Canis lupus familiaris: one gene and its partner. The protein of the gene in region 2 purifies or fractionates together with the protein of the main gene of each other region. This does not show direct contact. Links are inferred from orthologs where the notes say so. Each region holds a gene or a part of one and is shown on either strand. Other genes may lie near its edges.

Evidence for each region.
Region 1: the proteins of PKN3 (region 2) and ARHGAP26 purify together in Homo sapiens (affinity purification with mass spectrometry; 3 studies listed by BioGRID and IntAct, with this or other methods). This does not show direct contact. The link is inferred for Canis lupus familiaris from reciprocal best matches to the Homo sapiens genes PKN3 and ARHGAP26.

The regions. Positions count from the first base shown.
Region 1 is NC_049223.1:36,770,636-36,782,676, reverse strand, and holds the start of ARHGAP26 (rho GTPase-activating protein 26), read right to left. Parts: upstream 5,909-12,041; 5' UTR 5,850-5,908; coding exon 5,696-5,849; intron 1-5,695. UniProt on the Homo sapiens protein: GTPase-activating protein for RHOA and CDC42. Facilitates mitochondrial quality control by promoting Parkin-mediated recruitment of autophagosomes to damaged mitochondria.
Region 2 is NC_049230.1:54,971,721-54,983,461, reverse strand, and holds the start of PKN3 (serine/threonine-protein kinase N3), read left to right. Parts: upstream 1-5,095; 5' UTR 5,096-5,438; coding exon 5,439-5,453; intron 5,454-6,595; coding exon 6,596-6,836; intron 6,837-7,048; coding exon 7,049-7,194; intron 7,195-7,664; coding exon 7,665-7,776; intron 7,777-7,867; coding exon 7,868-7,995; intron 7,996-8,202; coding exon 8,203-8,386; intron 8,387-9,281; coding exon 9,282-9,428; intron 9,429-9,510; coding exon 9,511-9,620; intron 9,621-9,726; coding exon 9,727-9,870; intron 9,871-10,242; coding exon 10,243-10,318; intron 10,319-10,402; coding exon 10,403-10,571; intron 10,572-10,764; coding exon 10,765-10,867; intron 10,868-10,968; coding exon 10,969-11,036; intron 11,037-11,313; coding exon 11,314-11,377; intron 11,378-11,523; coding exon 11,524-11,615; intron 11,616-11,741.

The DNA of each region.
Region 1 (12,041 bases), on a different chromosome or scaffold from region 2:
ATATTAGGATTTTGTAAGTAATATCATTACTCCTAAACAAAGCTGGCTGACAATGAACATCCTTTGGGAGACCATTTGAATGAAGGGCTCATCTTACTAATGCAAAAAGCCTATGCCAAATCCTAAGAACTACAAAAGTGTGACATGATTTCAAGCATGCAACTCTTACATAAAATAATAAATTCAAAAAATAAAAAAAATAATAAAGCATGCAACTCTTGATGTTGATTTTTTTTTCTTTTTCTTTTATTTATTTATTTATTTATTTGCTCGTTTTATTGAGCAAAGAGGATAAGTCATTTATCTTAGCAGATCAGACCGGGGAATAGGTTTCTGGCCTTCCTGTTTGATGGTTTATTACCCAGCTAAAAAAGAATCACTTCCAGTTTTAAAATAAATAAGTCATGGAAAGTATTGTACAGCATATTGATGATAGTTAATAATAACATAGCATACGTTTAAAATTTGCTGAGAGTAGCTCTTAAAAGTTCTCACCACAAGAAAAAAAAAAATTCTAACTGTATGGGGTCACATGTTAACTAGATGTATGGTGGTGATCTCTTACAACATATACAAATACAGAATCACCAGAAACTAATATAAAGTTATATGTCAATTATACCTCAACTTAAATTTTTTAATTAAAAAAAGAAAGCGATGCTATAAAAGTACACATATTTTAATTTTTTTTTAAATCACTGATAATCACTCAGCACTTCCCAAAGAAAAACTCTATTGTTATAAAAGGCAAGAGATAGTCAAACACCCTCATTTTTTTGTTCTTTAATCCTATGATGGAGAGAAACACAAAACTCCAAAGTACAATACAAAACACGAGCTATTCTTTGCCACCCAGGTCTCAAGTTCTGAAAAACCACTAGAATAATATTTTCACTTAATCTAGCACCTGCTGCATGCTTCTCCTTTTTAGGGCTTAGATCCATGAAGAATTTGCATCTTCAGTACCACTATGATAACTGAAGGTAAAAAAGGTTCATGTTCAAGAGAAAGCCCTCAAGTCTATTGCCAGGTTCAAAACCTACACAACTTCTTAGCTTTGGACCTTAGAAAAGTTATCCAACTCCAAAACACAGAAAAATAAGAGTATTCATCTCACAGGACAGCAGTAAGGACTAATGAGACAATGTAGACACTTAGCATAGGGCCAGATACTTGGTAAGTGCTCAATAACCAAAAGCACATCATCTCCAAAAAGTCTCATGAATACTAAGGCTCAACTACAGAAATATAAATACACTGACCTCATTTTTTTTTGGGGGGGGGGGGGGGGGGTGTGTCACCCAACAGGATAAAACCCCAGAGTCAGGGCTTTATGGGATATCACACAACTTGCCCAACTTGACTGAAAGGTCAGAGAGGAAAGGGGCTAGATTCTTAGTTTTATCTTGGTCTCCTCTGTATCCATCCACAGTACCATGGACTAAAACTAATCTACTCCCCACTCATGGGTTTGAAACACAAAATACCCAGGTTTCTCCCAGCTCCAGGACATGGTTCCATCTTTGGGATCTCACCCCTACATAAACCCCCCTGAAGAGCAGCTTATAGATTCAAAGTTCCCCCACCTGAAATTCCAATGAAAAACTCTGTACCTAAAGTTGGTCACCACCACCCAGGAGGAAACTATTAAAATTGTACCTGTGATGTTTGGAATAGGCATATTTATTGCCTGAAAATACATCAGTGATTGACAAGGGCTGGGGACAGAGGTAGGGAGGAGCTGGGAGAAAATGGAGAATGATTGATGCCCAATGGGAATCAGATTTCTTTTGGGGTGATGGAAATGTTCTAAGATTGACTGTAGGGATGACTGTACAATTCTGCGAATGTACTAAAAACCTCTGAATTGGATTCTCTAAGTGGGTGAACTATATGGTAGGGTGAATTATACCTTTAAAGAGTTGATATTTTTAAATTTTGCATTTTTGCCCTACCTTAGACTATCAGAATAAGGGTATTCATTCTATCTGAGAAAGCAGAAGCCAAATTTACAGCAACAAGTCCAAAAGCCAACTCTCAAGATGGAAAGAAACAGTTCCTGAAAACCCATACCACCCCTCAAAACCAACGGCCTAATTCACTTTCATTTCTATGAACCCACATTTGGTTTGTCACTGGGTCCATGAGACCAGCCATAAAGTCCATTCCTGCAAGGCAGGAGAGTCAAGACGCACCCAGCCTAGCCACTGAGGGGGCATGTTAATCTAGCAAGAAGACTGAAAATTCAAGTTACCAAAACGTTATTTGGAATAGAAAGTATGTTGGGAAACTTACTCTTTTTTCTTTTTTTTTTTTTTTAACTTGTGGAACTTTTTTTGGCATAACATTATACAAATAGGATTACCAGGATTCTTCCCACCAGAGGTTAACACATACACAACTGTGTAAATTACGAAGAAGGCATAAGCCTAACTCCCTGCACCCAAACCAAAAACTGTACCTCTGCTCTTACTTTTGCTCTGAGTCTTGACAACCTTGAAAGCTGGCAGATGATTATAGCTACCAACAAGTGAGTAGTGCTATGCACCAGGCTCCAAGCTAAGTGTTTTCTTTACAAGGACTGATTCATTAAGTCCTCACAACACTAGAAAGTCAGGGTGGCTACTACCTGGAGGGACTCAGGCTCAGTGACTTGTCCTAAGTCTACCAGTAAGTGGTGGGTTTAAGATTCAAACCCAGGAAATGTTAAAACTTAATTCTACAAGTCTGAACTTCATCTCCAACTTCTATCATCTCTACAGAAAAACAGAAAGTCTTGAACACACAAAATCCTCCCGAATGAAACACTGAATCACCAGGGCAAGGAATGAGTTCTGGGCATATGACAGCCACAGAAAAGACCTGAACAAATCAGGAAAGAGAAAACTGACAGCGTTACCAACGTAGGTTGCAAATCTTTTATCATTTATCTTCTATGTATCCAGACCAGAGGCTTGGGCTTCCAAGGTAAAACTTCATAGGGGGTTATTTATCAGATTCTCAAGGGGACTCAAGAGACAACTGACCTAGACAATAGTTTTGCTTCAAGTTTAAGTGCATAGGCTTTGGAATCAGATAGCTCTGGTTCAAATATACTTAACCACTTTGTTACTTTAAGCAGGTTACTGACCTCTCTGATCGATCTTCAGTTTCTTCAAGCACAAAATGAAAGCAATAATAACAATGATCAAGGTGAACTTTGGTAATCCCAAAAGGCTAGTTTTACTGCCTCAGATTATCACACGGAGGAAATCTAAACCCAAAGGTCTATGAATACTAATTATAAAATAAAGCCATAAAATTTTATAGCTCAAAGAGACTGTAAATTATCTAAACCAGGGTATTTTACATAATTATGTATTTATTTCGTGTAATTAGTTTTAAAAACACTGGCTTTACATTTTCAGTAATGAAAAGGATGAACAGAAGAAAAATAATACACAAATACTAAGACAGTAATACACACTGTAGCAAGCACCTAATGATAATGGAATGCCTGAAATCTGGGAAAGAGTGATCAACTCCACTCTTTCCACTGAAGAGGTCACACATGATCTACTCAGGTAATAGTAGCTGTCAGAGTATTGTTAATACATACAACTAGATATAAACAGATTAGAACATTTAGTTCCTTACTAATCTTTCCCCCAAGTTACAGGGCTGCTCCATTCCATTAGACAACTTAAATAATTCTTAAGCCCTATCACTGCATTATTTCCCCCCACCCAAGGAATTCTTAGCCCTATCCAAAAAAAAAAAAAAAAAAAAAAAATAGTAGCAGGCAAATAAATTCCCAGTCACACAAATGTACCCTACTCATACTCAAGACAGATATACAAATGCAGTTCCAAATTCTAGCAGGCTTGGTCCAGGGGGTCCACTCTGGGTAAGCAGGATGAGAGAGGATTAAGAGCTCTGTGTTAGCAGGAACTCCGACTCTGGCTCAGACCATGCAGGGGTGCAAGATTAGGTCCCACTGCTGGAGCTGTGTGGCTCTGGACTAGTGACTTCATCAAGCCTGTGTGTAAAATGAATAACATGAGATAATTCACCGGCAAGGAGTCAGTCTCTGTTGCCAAAGGGGCAACACAATAATCACTGCTACATCATCAGGACCCAGGGCAGCAGTACCTACACACAGCAGGCACTCCATATGTTTGCTGAATAAAGCAGAAGGCCAATTAAAGCCAGAATGAGACTGAATCAAAACTCGTGGGCCCAGTCTATGAGTGGGCTCCTAACTTTCTCCAAACCAGGGGTGGAGTGTTTCCTGAATCAAAGATGGTCAGTGGGAAAGGAAGAGTTATTGGTAGGCCTCAGATCATCAGAGACCCTGCCTCTGAGGAACCTCATCACACCACAATTTTATGTTTATTTCACCCCAAAAGATTGGCAATTGCTGTCCCGGGGTTCCATTATCTCCCCCTACATTTTTAGAAGCAACAGGATCACAAAATGACATCTCAGGCAATTGACTTCCAGAAATCCCCTTTCAAGAGGCCTGGGAACAATTTTCAGAGATAGCACTCCACTCAGCCAATGCAACCTGGCCTAGCTGAAAGGTAGCACCTATGAAGAAATCCATCCCACAGACGGGAAAGTAAAGTCAAAGACAGTTCCACTATCTTCCTTCATGTTATTCCTGACTCAAAAAACTAAAAGATGGACGGAGCTATTTTTAAAGGGGGGAGATTGAAAAAGCACCAAGATCGACCTCACGATCCAAGGAGCTCATCCCTAGAACACTTTCGTTTGGCCGGGAGAAACTCTCTGGCTCTGCAAAGGTCAAGGGAAAAACCATACACAGAATGCAAATCTCATTTCTCCCCTACCAAGAGGAAATAAGTAAAAAATGGGTTTTACGAAGGGCTCCGGAATCCTTAAGGACGAGTTTTAACTTCAGCTCTCCGAGTGAGGCCGGAGGACATTCCCTCAAAACCTTTGAGTTTTCAAGGATAAAGGGAGAGGCTTAAAAAAAAAAAAAAAAGAGAGAGAGAGAGAGAGAGAGAGAGCGAGGGAGCGGGAGAGAGTCAGGATATGTTCGTTCTATTTTTAAACCCCCGCCCACAGTTTAGAGTAAAGGAACACTCTGATGCTGTCCTCCCACCCCTGTCACCTTCTGCTGAGCACAAGAATCAGAACCTGCACGCGTTCACCGCCCGGGGTCACTGGCCGCGATCGCTCCCCAGAAGCGCGAGCTCCCAGCCGCGGCGCCCGGCCCTTTCCTGGCAGCGCCCGCGCCTTTCGCAGAACCCGGCGGCCCCGGCAGCCCGGCGCGCACGGAGCGGGGCGGTCCCCAGCCGCCCTCCGCCGGGGCACGTTCCGCTTCCCCGGCCGAGCACCCCGGGGTGAGCAAGCGTTCCCCAAGGGAGCCGAGCCGGAGCGGCGGGCGCGAGGGGGCTTCCCAACGCGGTGCGCGGCGCGCCAGGCACGGGCGTCCCACTCCCGGGACACCTGTGCGCCGCGCACAGCCAGCCGCGGGGCCCCGGAGCGCCGCCCGCCCTCGGCCCCCGCCCGCCAGCCCCGAACGCCAACGGGGGGCTCCGGGGCGCCCGCCTCGGCGACCGCTGCTCGCTCGCCCCCGCCCGGCCCCGGCGCGCCCGCCGGCAGCGTGCACGGCCGTCGCCCGGGACCCCGGCCGCCCGACGGCCCTCCCGCCTCAGGGTCGCGTCCCCGCCGGGCTCGGGACACTCACTCTTGAGCGCGCCGATGAGGGACTTCCCGTCCTTGATGAGCTCCTTGATGAATTTGTTGGTCTTGTCCAGCTCCGCTTCGTGCGACTTGAGCGTCTCTCGGAAGTGCGGGCTGTCGAGGCAGCAGTCGCTGAATTCCAGCGCGGGGAGCCCCATCGCGCCCGCGTCGCCCAGCCGGGGGGCGCGCCTGCCCCAGCGCCCGGGAGGCCCGCAGCCCCGAGCACGCACGCGGCGGGACCGCGGCCGGGACCCCCGACGCCCGCCGGCTCCACAGGTGTGGCCCCGGCTCGCCCTCCGCGCGGTGTCCGCCGGCGCGCACGGCTGCCGACCCGCGCGGGGTCCCGGCCGAGGGGCGGCTGCTCCGGCGGCGCGCCACGGAGCGGCTGGCGGGCAGGAAGCGCGGCCACCGACCCGCGGCGGCGCCGGGAAGCGAGCGAGCAGGCGGGCGAGCGCGGCGGCCGCCTCCCCGCCTCCTTCGCCCGATCGCTCGCCAGCGGCCTCGAGCGCCCTCTCACAGCAGCCTCGGCCGCCCCGCCGGCGTCCGGGCCGCTCGAACCTGCTAGCGATGACCTAATCCCAGGCGGACCAATCAGCACGCCCGCCTCAGCCCGACCCCCCTGCCTCCCGGGGACAGCCGGCCCTTCCGCGGCCTTGACCCAATCAGCGGGGTGCGGAGGCGGGGCCTGGGCCGGGGGGCGGGCCCACGCCACCGCCCAGGTCCGCAACACAGGCTCCGCCCCCTCCCGCCCGCGCGGTGTTGCAGACCCCGTGCGGGAGGGGTGATCGCTGCGAGGCGCCGACGCTCCCCACTCCGGGTCTTGCGGACCTGCTGCGGCCGGGACCCGAACCCGAGGTGCTGCTTCCGCAGGTCTGGGAAGCGGAGGACCCTCAATGTGCCTAGCATGAAACGGGGCTGCAGTTCCCCCTGAACCCGCCCTGCAGGGCTGGGCAATCGAGCTTTCACTCGAGATGCAGCTCCCGAGCCCGGGAGAACCTCGAGCGCAGCGAACCACCATGTCCACCCTTTTCACCCGCTCCGTATTCCAGCCAAGCAGAAAATGTTTGTATTTTTAAATTACCAGTTCTTCTTGCCCGCAATCTTCCCGCCCCTCATGGCCACTCCTGCTCAAAACCCGCCCACGGATGCTCCCCGGCCAAAGGCTCTAACATCCTTACGAGAATTTCAGCTGCCTGTTGTTTTCCTGTTGGGCATCTAGCACAATTTTACATAATTACCTCCTGCCTGTCGTCCTTTGATACCCTGTGAGCTTCACGAGGGCACAGACCACTGCAGTTTTCTTGTGCGCTGCTGCATTCCTGCTACCTAGGCCAGTGGCTTGCATACGGTAACGGATACTGAGAGCTTACCGTGTGCTACATGTGCCATTCGTGCTCCGGTGACTGACAAATGTGGACTAAATTAAATCTTTCCCCACCTCCCACCCCCAGTGCGCTGCCCTGTCCTCCCTCTGTTCCACTACTGGAATTCATTCAGGCAGCTCACTTAACTGCACTGGTCAGGCTGGATCCCACAGTATCTAGTGCTAAATTGGGAACTCCTAGAGCATAGGGACTGTCCCTGAAATAAATTTTTGTGTGTCCAGGAGCTAGGAGCTTTCAGTTAAGGGTTTTTTGTTTGTTTTTGGTTTTGGTTTGTTCTTTTTTTTTTTTTTTTTAATAGATCTGCTATGTGCAGGCATTAAACTAGATGCTACCCATACTAAGATGAATAGCACAGAATGGACTTAATTGCTGCTAGTGGATGGGAGAGACAGGAGAAGAGCATTAGGGCTGCCTGGTGAGACAGGAGAAGGCCTGGGTGCTTAAAAACATGGGGAAAAGGTTGCCAACTCTGGGGCCAGAAGAGGCATCTACGTTGAGAAATCAATTGCCTGGTTTATTGAATACATAAATGAATGAGTGAGTATGATCTGTTTGCTGCTGTATCTACAAATTTAGACTTGAGAGCAGGCCCGAACAGCTGTGGGACAGATAATTAAAATCCTGAAAATAGTTGCTCCTCAGTTGCCAAGAATGAGAAAGATCTGCTTAATACCATATCTTGAGCACTTAAAAGGTAGGTTCTCTATTGATACATAACAAATCACACCAAAACTTAATATTCTAAAACAACAACAATCTTTTTATATTCTCTCCTGGTCTCTGTGGAAGAGCTTAACTCGGTAGTTCCAGCTTAGGAGTCTCTCCTGTGTTCCAGTCAGACAGTGACAGGTGCTGGAGCAGGGGTGGTTAGCTGAGCATCTCCCTCTTCTTGGGTGGGCCCAAGGCTTCTCTGCTGTGTGCCCTACTTTGGGCTTCCTCCTTGCATGGCAGCTTCAGGATTCTACTGTGAATGCCCCATCTCACAAGGCAAAAGCTGTACCACCTCTTATGGCCTAACCTTAGAAGTCACAAATTTCTAGCTAATTTCTTCATTAGCTACAAGCAAGTCACAATCCCACGCAGATGCAAAGAGAAGGGAATTAGACTGTACCTCTAGGTGGGGAAGTGACAAGAACGGGAGATACTGTTGCAGCCATGTCTGGAAAAAACTAAAAAAACAGTGGGCCTGGCACATGATACTCAATCAGTGTTAAATGAATGAAACAAACTGGGGGTGTGGGGGCACAATGATTCATATTCTTCCATTGCAGGAATATTGGGGCAATTGTGTATAAAGTAAAATAAATGTATTAATAATAACATTGGCTATCATCTGTGCCAGACATAAAGTAGAGCTAAATTATTTACATGCATTTAATCCCTGCCAGGTAATATTGGTACCATGATAATACCCACTTTTCAAATGAGAAATTGAGGCCCATAATTGGAACTTAAGCCAGGTTACTTAGCTAAGAAGTGTGTGCGATACATACATATATGCCCATTTACAAATATGTGTGGATAACATTTCATTTCTTATTAATTTAACCCAGAATTTCCATAAACACTTCCCACACTTCAGGCAATACTATCAGAAAAAGAGAATCCGAATGCAGTAGTATCAAGGACAGAAACTGGCACATGGAAGGTGCAGTTATCTCTCACATCCTCGAAAATAAACTCCATGAGGTAGAGGTTTTGTGTTGTCTGCTGCTACAGCCCCAGCTCTTAGAACAGCAACAGGTACTTAAGAGGTGCACAATGCCAACAGGAGGGACTCAAGTTTAATAAGGAAGAAACAGCAACTCATGTGACAACATAGCTATGAATGCAGATAAAACAAAAATCACTTTCAAACAAAATAGAGAAATAATTTAGGCCAAATAATTTGACCCAATATCCTTGGAATATGTCTCAATTCCTTCAAATTAGTCAAACACTAAATCTAAATAGTTCTACTTTCAGTAATACTATATACATTGTAAATCCGTATTATCTCTGACTTCAGTTGTCCAGTTAATTTTACATCTGCCACACAATGACCTTCCATTTGTAGAAAACTGGAAAGCATTCTCATTTCTCATAATGCTATCTCTGACCCACATACGCAGAGGTGAGCATGGTTCCTGAACACAAACTGAAGAACAGGGCTGGTCCATGATGAAGGTTCTTAGGCCCTCATGTAACTAAGGACCAGAAATAGATGTAGCCTCAGGAGACTTGGATGATGATGTGAGCACCAGATTTCTCTCTCCGCCCCACAAGCTGACCTTCCTCTATGGTGCTCTCTGCTCCTCCAAACTTATATCCAGCAATATTAGCAGTAACAGAGGTGTTTTCTCCCCAAGAATTACAGCAGAAATTACAAGACTGAAGCCAGAGGTTAAATAGCCCTGCTCCTAAAACATCAAGCACTGGGGAGGAGTTGTTTCCCCCAAAGGACAAACTCCTGTTGACAGGAAAAGAGGGAATTAATGCTAAATTAAATAGGCAGAAGCAATAATAAACAGTATGTCTGACCAGTTAGTTCCCCAACGCCCTCAAAATGAATGCTCCTTCTGCTATATTTCCATGGTTTTGTAATTCTAGTTAGCACATACTCTTTCTTTTTTATAGTCAATACCATATGATGCTTTACACAGTGACTTCACCTTTGTATTATTACTGGATAAGGCATCCGTTTTCCATTTTTAAAATGACAATTTGGGGATGATGTTGTAAATATATTCTATATCACAATCGTGGTGATGGTTACACAGGTTTCAAAATTAGTCAAAATTTATGGGTGCATCTTATTGTGTCTAAGTTACAGCTCAATAAAGTTGCTTTTAAGAAGTAATAATGATGGTAGTGATAGTAATGATATTTATTGAGCTTTATCTCTGTAGTAGGATCTGTGCTAAGTTCTTTATTACATTTCCAGCCTTTACTAAAATTTGGGAAATAGGTACTGTTACCATCCCTATTTTGCGGATAAAGTAACTAAGGATTAGAGAAGTAAGGTGCCTAAGGTTAGCAGTAGAATTGAGCTAAGAATTCAAATCTATTTGTCTTAAATAACTATCTGCCTATACGATATCTATAAGAAAGAGATTTTATATATCTAAAAAATTAATAATAATAGCCAAGCCTAAAATTGGAATAAGATCACCCATGAATGGGGATGCCGGGGTGGCTCAGTGGTTGAGCATCTGCCTTCAGCTTGGTCGTGATCCCAGAGTCCTGGGATCAAGTCCCACATTGGTGTTTCTGTGAGGAGCCTGCTTATCCTTCTGCCTATGTCTCTGCCTCTCTCTCTGTGTCTCTCATGAATAAATAAATTTTATTAAAAAAAAAAAAGATAACCCATGAATGAAAGAGGAGGTATCTCACCCTGAAATGTATGTTTTTTTTCCAGGACCATTTGCTGGTATGCCCCCAATGTATCAGTAACTATACAAGCCTCTAATAAGTTTTGGCTTTAAATCCAATGCCCTAAAGTAATAATAATAATAATAAATAATAAATAATAAATAAATAAATAAATAAATCCAACGCCCTACCATTAGTGTAAAAGCAACTGACTGAAAGACATGAAATCCTCATTTTCCTTGAAAGAAGAAAGAGTAATCTATCCCTCCAAATCCAATGGTTTGTGGTCCTGTGGGGGAGGTGGCAGCACTTAATTAACATTCCTTGGCTCAAGAAATTAATGAAATTCATATTACTTGTAGTATACAGGTCTGTTTTATATGTTATCCACATTTTTCATCCCTGCTACTTTTTAATTTAATGTCCTTTCCTTACTCATTTGTTGAGAAAGTACCTACATATATCATTTACTGCATACCAGATACTCTCCTAAACATTTTACAAAAAATAGTTCAATTAATGTCTTCAGAACCCCATTATCATCTTATCTCCATTTTATAGTGAGGAAACTGAAAATGACAAACCTAAAGTCATAATCACTGAGCAGCAGAGCTGAGATTCTTTTTTTTTTTTTTTTTTTTTAGAGCTGAGATTCTAACCCCAGACTAGCCTAATTCCAGACTTAGGCTATGTTACTAATAGAACCCCAAGTGCGCAGCTAAAGAATTCAGTTCTGGGATCCCTGGGTGGCACAGCGGTTTGGCGCCCGCCTTTGGCCCAGGGCGCCATCCTGGAGACCCGGGATCAAATCCCACGTGGGGCTCCCGGTGTATGGAGCCTGCTTCTCCCTCTCCCTCTGCCTGTGTCTCTGCCTCTCTCACTCTTTCTCTCTCTGTGTGACTATCATAAATAAATAAAAATTTTAAAAAAAAGAATTCAGTTCCTCAGATTTCTATACAGCTACTGCTGGCCATGTGGCATTTTTCTGGCCATTAAGCTATAACTAGAAATCTATTGGGTGGGCCTCCAGGATCACACCCCGGGGCTTAAGGCGGCGCTAAACCGCTGAGCCACCTGGGCTGCCCAAGATTTTGTTTTTTTGATAAGGGGACAGCTGACACACACTTTTTGCCCACCTTCCCTCCCTATTCTTTTCATCTAGAATATGGGTGTAATGCATCAAGGAGCAGCATTCATCTTGCAACCATGAGGATGAATGCCACATGCCAGGTGCCTTGGTGATATCTGTGAGCCACAACACCCAGCCCTAGAATGCCCACCTACCAACTACTCATCACATGAAGGGGAAAAAAACAAGCTATGTAGGCCCTATTAATGGAGTTTTCTGTTACTTAAAGCCAGATAGAACCCTAAATGATATGATGATCTAATCACAAAATCTATTGTTTCACCTCCTCTTGAATTCTGGTCATCCACATTAATACATGGTTTTTAGGGAGTTTCCAAAATGGAAAATCATTAGTTTTAAGGATGGTTTCCTAAACATTTAAAGATAATATCTACATTTACAGGAATGTATACTAAATGAAGAAAGATATTTAAGAAAAATGATAATCCATCAATCAAAATAAGTTTGTTCAAAACTGAGCTGAA
Region 2 (11,741 bases):
ATGTAATTTCTGCACAGGTCTTGTTTAGTAATACATCACTGTATACCGGTCAGGAATCTTGCTCCAATAAAGGAACATAAAGATTTTTTTTGACTGGGGTCATTCTCCTTGTTTCCTAGAGACATGTTACTTGCCTTTGGATATAGATAAGGTAGTTTTTCTGTCTGATTTGCATTAGTAGTGACTGGGGAATGGGGGAAACTGCTCTTCAAATCATTCAGTGTAGCAGGGAGAAGTCTATGAAAGGGTAGGTATAAAGATCACAGAAAAGAAACTTCTTTGGAATGTAGTTGGTTCCTGAAGGGATCGAATATTTTCCTATTGAAGTCTCAACATTTAAAGGACTCTTGGCTAGCAAAAATCCTCTGGTTGCTTGAATTTTTTTTTTAAGTTTATCTTTACCTTTTTTTTTTTTTTTTTACTTTATTTATGATAGTCACACACAGAGAGAGAGAGAGGCAGAGACACAGGCAGAGGGAGAAGCAGGCTCCATGCACCGGGAGCCCGACGTGGGATTTGATCCCGGGTCTCCAGGATTGCGCCCTGGGCCAAAGGCAGGCGCTAAACTGCTGCGCCACCCAGGGGTCCGCCAGGTTGCTTGAATTATTACTCATTAAGTAGGCCTGTAATTTTTGTTTCTCAAAGTTACTACTTACTAAATCTGATTTATGGGCTGGTGAGTGAGATCGGAGGACCATCAGTTATAGGTCCTGTTTGTTTTTTTATAAATTTTATTCATGAGAGACACAGAGAGGCAGAGACACAGAGGGAGAGAAGCAGGCTCCATGCATGAAGCCCGATGTGGGACTCGATCCCAGGTCTCCAGGATCATGCCCTGGGCTGAAGGCAGGCATTCAATCGCTGAGCCACCCAGGCGTCCCTAGGTCCTCTTTAATCCATTCTTAAGATGTACATTTACTTTTGAGAAAATGACTCAAATAGCTCTTAAAGATCATTTTCTCTTAACTATTGAGATCACCTTTTAGATTGCCCTGTGCCTGCAAATCGTGCAAAGGAGTGCTGGGCTGTGAGACAGGAAGGTGGCAATGTCAGTGTCCTGGAACTTGCTACAGAGTAGCAAGTGTGCTTTGTACCCAGTTGCAAGAGTTCTCAGGCTGGCCTTTGGGCAGTGTGTTTTGGAAAGTGCCAAATGAATGGCTTAAAGCTCCTTTGGTACAAGGACATTTCAAAAGAAAAGGGCAAATAACGGCTGCTGTAGTTTCTCTGGGAGGAGGGCATCTTCCAAAACTGCCAAACTGCTTATGAGGGAGTAACTACATGAATAGGGGCACAGGGGACAATGTATAGATAATGTATCTATTTGGTAATCTATCCTTAGAGTTAATTTCAAACCTAAAGGAATGTTCTTTTAGACCCATCCCTGCAGTTGAGGTTGTTTCTCCAACATGTTCTGATTTCTAAGACTTAACTGTTCCCTGACCTCTGTGACAGGCCCTGCAGTTTCTCCCAGCTCTGGCTGTACAATGTAGAGTTTTAAATGTCCCCAGAATCTTGCCTGTCTCTGACTGACATGGGCTTTATATCTGGCCTGTTTTCTCACCTGTGTTAGCTGTCTGGCTGCCAACAGGTATGGGTTTTTGACGTGATGGATTTGGGGGGGCCTTCTGGGCTTCAGAGGATTCCTACTCAGTTGTATTTCTGAATTAATTTGGTAGTTTTTACCATTACTGCTTTTCGACAACTAGTCTCAGGGTTTCACTTGGTCCTGAAAACAGGTTTGGCTTTTGACCTTTTTGGTTAGGTTGCTATGAAAAGGCAGAATTGTTATAGAAGGTGAAGACTCAGGATTTCTGAAGAGCAAGACAAGTTCTTTAGGAGATGAATGACGAGCCATTCCAATTGTTTAAAGAGGACACCTTGGGGATCCCTGGATGGCTCAGCAGTTTATTGCCGCCTTCAGCCCAGGGCGTGACCCCGGAGTCCCGGCAACGAGTCCCACGTCAGGCTCCCTGCATGGAGCCCGCTTCTCCCTCTGCCCCTGTCTCTGCTTCTCTCTCTGTGTGTCTCTCATGAATAAATACATAAAATCTTAAAAAAAAAAAAATAAAGAGGACATCTTACATTAGGAAAAAGTACCCCCCCCCACACACACAATCCCAGCATTCCCATTTGAACACGTGGCTGTGTTCATGAAGACTTTAGAAGTTTACTTTTTAATAGGTCCGAGGGAAAAGACTGCAGTTTTGTGGTTAGAACAAGAATAGTGAATGGGGAGTGTGCCAGCTTGATTACTTGGTGATATTGCATACTCCCTACTACCCAAGGGCAGCAAATCTAAACATAGACGGATGTTTGCCATACCAGGAAGGGAAGTATAGAAAGGAAAAAAAAGTGTTTTGTGTTGTTTTTTTTTTTTTTTAATGTGCCCTGCTAGGAAGTTTTATATTTCTTTGAGTTGATATTTATACAGTTTTAGCCGCCAGTTAGCTGGAGAGTTGTTTGCACCATTCACTACCCACTGGATGCTGAATGTGAAGGGAACTTCAATTTTCTTAAGAATTAGCAGTTTCATGAAGTACCATCAGAAAGGATGAAGCTATTTGGTCAGGCTTCTCCATCAGCCTAGGATTTGGTTTCCTTGTGGGTTTGCCCAGCCTGGGGTTCATGGATTCTGCTACTTCTGACTTCCTTTCCTTTGTTGACCAGCGAAGCAGTAGAACACACAGCAAACTTGGAAAATCATTTTGACTTCTTTCACATAATTCAGCTTTCTTGGCTGTAGTAGATAAATGATCCTCAGGATGGGAGAGAGACATTATGCTGAAAAGAGCTTTACTAGCTTGTTTTGTCCTTTCCTTCAGTCCTATGACTAGCAGTCAGAAACATTGTCTTTTTTTGCTCTAAATTATGCTTAAACATTCAACTCAACACAACTTGATGACAACCCTCATTTATTTTTATTATTATTTTTTAAAGATTTGATTTATTCATGAGAGACACACAGAGAGAGGCAGAGATACAGGCCGAGGGAGAAGCAGGCTCCATGCAGGGAGCCCGACGTGAGACTCAATCCCGAGACTCCAGGATCACGCCCTGGATCACGCCCTGGGTTTGGCAGGTGCCAAACCGCTGAGCCACCCAGGGATTCCCCTCAACCCCCATTTAAAAGAGCCTACTATGTGCTGTTATCTAAGCCCTTGGCAACCTGGACATGCCTCTGATTATGAAATTTAGGCATGCCCCCCACTGAACCCAGTTGCTCTTGCATACGTTGGTGTCATCTGCTTGATTTCCCATTGCGGGACAACCCAGGACTGTCATGGCTTGTCAGTATCACCTTTTCCACTCTGGGGAGGGAGGGTGGTCAGAGCAAAGTGCAACTGACATGATTTCCTTCAGTAAAAGTACAGGAAGGCACCTGTTCCGAGTCATCAAATCGGCCACCTTCCATGTTTGATCCCCACTCACCTCCAGACCCTTGGGCCAGGCTCCTTCCAGTGAAGTCCTGGCACAGGGTGCCAGTTAGCACAGGATACCAGAATTCCTATACAGGCAAGCCGCTGCCAGGTCAGTTGGTGCCCACTGGTCGGCTTTCCTGAAATAGTGGTTCTTTCCTACGGTGTGTGTCTTCTGTTTGGGTGGATTCTTGAGGACAAGGGAAGCCCTGGCCGACCCAGAAAGCTCCACTGTGGTTGAGTGGCGGAGCCTGAGATGTTTGGTTTATTCATCCATGGTTTGTAATTTGGGAGGGTTTGGGGGAGGCTTTACTTTCTTTCAGTTGCAGACGTTCTTATAGTAGTGACTCTAGACAGGGACAAGACTCCGTGAGGGTGACGGGTTTGGGATTAACCCACTTGTCACCAAGGATCTAAGACGAGGAGAAGGCTGCGGGCGGGAACCAGGTGGTGGCACGGCTCGGAGGAAGGGGCTGAGCCGGCCCCACGGGCAGTGTCCGGCGGCCGGCAGGCGGCGCTGTCGCCCCCGACCCCTCTGGGCAGCTGGCGAACCCCGGCCCGGGAGGTGTCCCTCCCCGCACTTCTATCCCGGGCCGGGGACTGCGGCCTCAGGACGGACGCGGGGCCCCGGAGCCAGCGGGGCGTCGGCTGGAGCCCTGGGGTCCCGGGCGCAGACCCTGGCGGCCGACAGGCGGCGCTCATCTCGGGGCCCGCGAGCGCCAGCCGGCCTCGGGAGGGGGCGCCCGATCCCGCGGCTCGGGCTCCGCTTCCCGGGAAGTTTCAAGTTTGAAAGTCCTGGCGGAGGGGCCGGGGCTTCCGGAACCGCAGTGGGCGAGAGGAGGGGCCGAGCGGCCGGAGCGGCGCCATGGAGGAGGGGGCGCCGCGGCAGGTGGACGGCGCCCGCGGAGGCCGGGCTGCGGGCGCGGGCCCAGGGCGCCGGGGAGCCTCGTGCACGCCGCGGGCACCCCGAGCCCCGGCCGCGACCCCCAGGTCCGACCCGCATCCCCTCCCGGGTCCCTTCTCAGTCCCGGCCCCGGGCTTCGCTGCACCTCGCAGGGCAGACCTGAGCACGGGGGTGAGTCGTTCATGTCCCCTGAAAACGCCCCCAGATCACCCCCTAGGGACTCAGAGCCTCTGGTCAGGCCAGCAGTCAGGGCCACCAGCATGGGCGCCAAAGTTGCCTAAAATCAGCTCTTCCCGGTAGGACTGGAAGGCCGATGGGAATCGACCTAGAAAGCAAAGGGGGGCGCTGGGGCGCACTGGGGCCGGTCCTGCGTGGAGAGGAATCCGAGTGTGCAGGGAGAAGAGAGCCCAGGAGGGCACCAGTCCCTGGGCTCTTGGGGGGGTGGTCCTACCCGGATCACGAAGGCATGTGGGGTTTGGCCGGGCCGGAGGGCCTTGCCCAGCACCTGGGTGGGAACCTTCGGGTACACAGGGTTCTAGTCCAAATGGCAGGGAGGCTGGGATCCTGCCAGTGCTGGCAGTAGGTGCTGGTGGACACAGCAGCCAAAGCCGTGTGTTTGTTATTGGGGAGGGAGGGGTGGAGGTCTACTCAGAGCGAATGGGGTGGGGTCCCAGCTGTAGAGCAGCAAGGGAGAGGTGTGTATGTCCGCCCAGAGCAGACAGGAGGTGGGGGTATGCTCAAGGGTGGAGTGTCCTCCACAAGGCTCGAGTGCCCCCACCCCAAGGGCCTAGACAGCCCTAAGCACTGCATCTGCCCCCTCCCACTCCCTTCTTCCGGAGGTCCCTCCGCCTGTTCCAGCAGCAGCTTGTGCACATTTTCCGATTTCCTGTGAACCTCCGCCCAGCAGCGCAGCTGGGTGACTCAGGACCCCGGTGGCCAGGCCCCCTGCTCCATGGGATCTTTGTTTGCTCAGGCCTTTGGCTCTGGCCCTCTGGCCTAGGGCCCTCAAAGGATTTCCTGAGCCCCGCCCCTGCCCTCTGACTACCAGGCCAGCAGAGGCCTGGAGTAGGGGGGGGCCCTGAGACTGGGGTGACAACCTTTAACACTGGGCTCAGGAGATGGAGAGCCGAGAGGTAAGGTGGAAGTCCCGCAGGAGCCCTTGGGGTCGGGGGCATTGTGGGTTACTCTGGACAGAGGTCAGCTTTGGCACTGGTTGGTTTGAAATGTTAGCTTCTGAGAAAGAGATTTTTCTGTTTCTTGCTCCCACCTGGGGTGAAATAGTGAGAAAGCCTCTGCTTCCTCCCAGTAGCTGAGCTGGGAATGGCCCCGGGAGACCTCCTCAGCCCCTCTCCGTGTCTCTGCTTGGCTACCTGAGGGAACATCCCTGGCCCCTACTCAGGCCTCTGGCTGCCCTCTCTGTGTGACCTTGGGGGGTTCCCTAGCCTCTTTTCTGGCCTCAAATTTGGCCCCAAATCTCAGAATCGCAGTCTTGGAGAGAGCATCCTGATTAAGCGTGACTGGCAAGGGGGAAGGAAGGTGGCATCCCCTCTTCGGTGTTGTGACTTTGGGCACGTTGCTTAACCTCTCTGTGTCTCAGCTTCCCCATTTGTAAAATGGGGATCATAACTATACCAACCTCATGGGATTGTCGTGAGGATCCACAGACCAGTGTCTGCAAAGTTCTGAGACAGACCCTGAACAACCCAGGGGTCTGGGGCACTGACACACCCCACCTGCCATGAGTTGCAAATCTGCGTATGACTTTTGACTCCCCCAGACCTTAACTACCAGTAGCCTACCGGTGACCAAAAGCCTTACCGATAACATCAACAGTGGACTAACACATACTCTGTACGTTATGTGTATTCTATACTGTGTTCTTACAATAAAAGAAGCTAGAAAAAAGGGAAATGTTATTAAGAACATCATAAGGAAGAGAAAATACATTTACAGCCCTGTACTGTATGATCAAAAACAATTTGCTTATAAGGTGGACCTGTGCAGTTCAAACCCATGTTGTTCAAGAGTTGCCTGTAAATGTTGACAATTTCTCCCTCTCCCTCCTCCCTAGTGGCAGAGGACAGGAGCGTGGGCAGGATGCCTAGTCTTGGGGTTTGCATCTGGCCTGGGGATACTAGCTGGAAAGTCAGAGATGCCTCCCAAGCCCCGGGTGTCCACCCTGGCTGCTGGGCGTGCCTCCCTCTCCTTCCATCTGTGGGCACCTGAGGCCGCTGGTGGCTGGGGACGGGACCATTATTGCTCTGCCCTTCCACAGCCTGGGGCCAACCAGCGGCCCCCGGAGGATGAGAAAGAGGCGATCCGCCGTGCCATCCAGAAGGAGCTGAAAATCAAGGAGGGTGTAGAGAACCTGCGGAGGGTAGCCACAGACCGCCGCCACCTGGGCCATGTGCAGCAGCTCCTGCGCTCCTCCAATCGCCGCCTGGAGCAGCTTCACGGAGAGCTGAGGGCGCTGCATGCACGCATCCTGCTGCCCGGCCCTGGGCCTGGCCAGGCTGGTGAGTGTGGAGTCTGAGCGGACCCTCGGGCCCTCGGGGACAGGAGGTGCTGGGGAGGTCTACCCAGCCAGCTTCTCAACCTTGGTCCTGACCAATCTCATAGCCTTCTCAGGTGTCCCCCTGCCCAGGAGGGGAGGGGAGGAGACAGCAAGGCCATAGAGTAGGGGGCTCCTGGCTCTGGGTAAGGGCTTCATGTACCCCACACTGCACAGAACCTGTGGCCCCGGGACCCCAGCCACCTGCAGAGCAGCCCAGGGCTCGGCACCTGGAGGCTCTCCAGAGACAGCTGCAGGTGGAACTGAAGGTGAAGCAGGGGGCAGAGAATATGACGCATACATATGCCAACGGCACGCCCAAGGTAAGGCTCCCGGGGTCTGTGGGGAGAGATGTGGCTCTCGGATTAGTAGGGGAGGTGCTGCCCCAGCCCCTGTAGGGAATGCAACCTAGCCAACGACCTATTAAGGGAGACATTGTCTCAACTATTAGTCTGATAGAGGAGCCATAGCCCCAAATCTTAGCTTGGTGGGGAAGGCATGGCTTGGACCCCTAATTTAACAGAGAAGGCACAACTCAGTCTAATGGGGAAACCCCAGGCCCTGTTCTGGGTCTAATAGGGAAGGTCCACTCCCAGCCCCAACTCCCAGCATGATGTGGGGAGCTTGGCTCTGACATGATTGGAGAAGTTTGACCCCAGCCCTGTCTCATCTGATGGAGGAGGCTCTGCCCCAGACCTAGGCTGATGAGGGAGGCTTGGCTTCAGCCTTGGTCTGACCAGGGAGGCCCTGGGCTGGCCTGGGTGCGACGAGGGCATACCTCATGACCCCACAGGAGAGGAAGCTCCTGGCAGCTGCCCAGCAGATGCTGCGGGACAGCCAGCTGAAGGTGGCTCTACTGCGAATGAAGATCAGCAGCCTGGAAGCCAGTGGGTCCCCTGAACCAGGTGAGGCTTTGAGAAGCTGGGAGGGGCCGGCCGGCCGGGCCGGGCCGGGCAGAGCAGGGCATGGGCCTCAGAGCTGACTGCCTCCTCCCAGGTCCCGAGCTGCTGGCAGAGGAGCTAAGACATCGGCTGCATATTGAGGCTGCTGTGGCCGAGGGTGCCAAGAACGTGGTGAAGCTACTGGGTGGCCAGCGGACTCAAGACCGGAAGGCCCTGGCCGAGGTCAGACCGTGACGCCCTCTCACCACTGCCCCTCTCTGCGCCCTCCGCACTGCGGGATGGCTGTGCCGGGTGGGAACAGGGAGCCCACTGTGTCTAGACCTCGTGGCGGCCAGGGCGTGTGTGTGTCTCCAGGTGGTCCGAGCTGCTGTCCCCAGCCCCAACCTGTGTGTCACGGGCCTGTGCCCCCTCCCCTTATCTGCCCTGCAGGCCCAGGCCCAGCTCCAGGAGTCCTCCCAGAAACTGGACCTGCTGCGACTGGCCTTGGAGCAGCTGCTGGAGGGACTACCTCCTGCTCATCCTCTGCGTGGCCGGGTGGCCCGGGAGCTGCGGACGGCCGTGTCTGGGAACCCTCAGCCTTCAGGGGTGCTTGTGAAGCCCACCGCCATGACAGGTAGCCAGGAGTCCCTCTCACCTCAGGGCTCCCCTTTTCTTGCAAAGGGTACCCTGAAACACAGAGGGGGAGGACTTTGGAGAGTTTTGATTCTGGTCCCACCACCCTCTAGCTCTGTGAACACGGGCAACAGACTTCCACTCTCTGGACTCAGCTTAATGTTCTGTCAAATGGGGATGATAACAGCACCTACTTTGTAGGGTTGCTGTGAAATTCAGTGAGTTGTCACCTGTGATGTGCTAGGCACAGTGCCGGCATCGTCCAAACGTGGTCGGTGAAGCTGTTATCAAAATGAGAAACCATGATGACAATGTGAAGAGTGCCGGTGTTAGGGGAGCTCACAGCCCTGGAGGCCTTTGGTAACCAGTCCTGGGCAGTCTGGACTACTAGGAAGTTCTTTCTTATCCCTGAGCTGAATTTGTCTGAATTGTAGCTGAATTGTAATCAACAAATAATTTAAGCATGCTGACTTTGGAAACCCTGAACTTCCTACACGGGACACAGTGCCAGCCAGAGAGCCCGGCACCTTCCTGCTCAGAGCTGGTTCAGGGTTGGACGGGCCAGCTCCCATTGTGAGCAGAGCTGAGAAGGAATCAAGGAATGCTTCCTGGAGGAGGTGGTGTCTACATGTAGCCTTGAAGGGCTTCTGGGAGTTGGCCAAGTAGACAAGTTAGGGAAGGCGGGGCGGGGGTATGGCTTGCTAAAAAGGCCTAGAAGTTGTCTGGCTACTTGGGGCCACCTTATATCCTGTCACCTGGCTAAATACCCCAACTAATGTGGGCAAGGTCTGGGTTCAGACATCATTGAGAGAAAGTAGGTTTCCTGCGGTCCCAGGGGACCTGGCTGTGGCAGTGAGAGAATGGCACTGACAGTGTTTCTTGCGTGCTCCCCGCAGGGACACTGGAGGTCCGCCTCCTGGGCTGTGAGCAGCTGCTGAAGGCTGTCCCCGGACGGTCCCCGGCAGCTGCACTGGCCGGGAGCCCCTCCCAGGGCTGGCTCCGGGGCAGGGCCAAGCCTCAGCGTGGAGGAGGAGATCTGGCCAGTGAGTAGGGGCCGCAGGGAGCTGGGGGCAGCAAAGGACCTCCGCTCCTTGCTGGCTCTGAGCCCCCTATCTGGCCTGGCAGGTGAGGTGATGGCTGTGCTGAAAGTGGACAATCGTGGCGTGGGCCAGACTGGCTGGGCGCCGGTGGCCAAGCAGTCCTGGGACCAGATGTTTATTGTCCCCCTGGAGCGGGTGAGCCCTGGGGTGGGCAGGCATGACCTTAGGCCAGGGGGCGGAAGGCCGGCCAGGTAGGGGCATGTGCCATGCCCCACTCCTCAACCTGGCCCTCCCAACGTAGGCCCGGGAGCTGGAGATCGGGGTGCGCTGGCGGGACTGGCGGCAGCTGTGTGGCGTGGCCTTCCTGCGGCTGGAGGACTTCCTGGACAATGCCTGTCACCAGCTCTCCATCAGTCTGGTGCCACAGGGGCTGCTCTTTGCCCAGGTGCCCCAGACCCTGCCCTCTGACCTGACAGGCCCCAGCTCCGTCGGAGTTAGAAGGGCCTTCAAAACAATGTGACTCATCCATCCACACGTAGGAGTGGAAACTGGGGCCCCGAGGGAGCAGGGCTCCAGGACTATGGGTTCCCAGCCCTTGTCTGGGGACTGCATGGGAATCTAGAGGCCCACATCTTGGTCCAGACTATCTGGCCTCATTTGTGACCCTGGACAAGTGCCTCTCTTCTCTGGACCCCTCTGGCTCTTGCATCATTGATGCTGGGGGCTCAGGCCGAGATCCTGGGAACCAGGGAGGTACCCTGATGGCAGGTGGGATGGGAAGGGACCTGTCTCCAGCCCTGCCCTCTGCCCCCTGCAGGTGACCTTCTGTGACCCTGTCATTGAGAGGAGGCCCCGGCTACAGAGGCAGAAACGCATTTTCTCTAAACGCAGAGGTGTGGCCAGGAGACAGCTTTGCAGTTAGGGGGCAGGGCAGGGGCTATTGGGGGCCCCAGGACTGAGTCCTCCTTTTGTCCCAGGTCAGGACTTTCTGAGAGCTTCCCAGATGAATCTCAGCATGGCGGCCTGGGGACGCTTGGTCATGAGCCTGCTGCCCCCCTGCAGCTCCCCAAGCACAATCAGCCCCCCCAAAGCATGTCCCCAGACTCCAGCCACACCCCGGGGAGCTGCCGAGCCTGCCTCGCCCAGGTGAGGAGCCACCCCGCCTCAGCCGCCCTCTTCTCTGCCACATCTGCCTCTCTCCAGGTGCAATTGGTGTTGTTCTGTTCCCGTCATTCACCCTCTGATCCTCCATCTGTCTGTCTCTGGCATCGCCGTGTGTTTGTCCCTATGGCTATTCCATCTGCCTGTGCCCTGCCATGTGTCTACTTTCTCCACATAGTAATGTCCCACCCAAGAAGAGCCCCTTGGGAGAAGAGATGAGGCCCCCGCCCAAGCCCCCACGCCTCTACCTGCCCCGGGAGCCAACCTCCGAGGAGATACCGGTGAGGGGGTGCTGAGGCCCGGGGGCTGCCCGGATAAGGGTGGCAGGGCTGGTGGGACAGAAGGAAGCCCTGCTCTGCTCTGAGCCCCTCTGCCCTCACAGCGCACCAAACGCCCCCACATGGAGCCCAGGACGCAACTTGGGTCGTCTCCTCCAGCCTCAGCCGCCAGGTACCCCCGGCAGGCCCACTTTTATGCTTGAGACATCTATCTACTCACTTGGGTGTTTGTGTGTCCATTCAGACATCATCTGATATTCCTTGCTCTCAGATTCTTACTCACTAAACCCACATTATTGAGCTCCAGCTGCTTTCCAGACTCTAGGAAACCACTGTCCCAGGAACCCCCACCCCCATCCCCAGGCTTTGCAGCCTCATTGGTGGGGACAGCCCGGGGCTGGGCACAGAGAGTTTGGAGCATCTCTTGTCTTCCTATGCCTCTCTTGCAGGAAACCCCCCCGGCTTCAGGACTTCCGCTGCTTGGCCGTGCTGGGCCGGGGACACTTTGGGAAGGTAGTGGGCTGAGGTGGGGAACTGTGTGGGGGGGTGAGGAGGCCCCAGCACCTTAGCTGGGAGGATGCTGTGATCCATGGGGTAGTGGGGTGGGGGAAGCTGCCCTGTGCTGTCCGCCTGAAGCCCAAGCTCTCTCTGGTGCCCAGGTCCTCCTGGTGCAATTCAAGGGCACGGGGAAATACTACGCTATCAAAGCGCTCAAGAAGCAGGAGGTGCTGAGCCGGGACGAGATGGAGAGGTGTGTAGTCGGGCCAGTGGGCACCCGGCCCCGGTTGGGACCCCGGATGGCTGGCCTGGCCAGTGGCACCGGAAGGCAGCTGAGTGCTCTTGGGGCTTTGAAGAGGTGACCTCTGGCGCCGGCCAG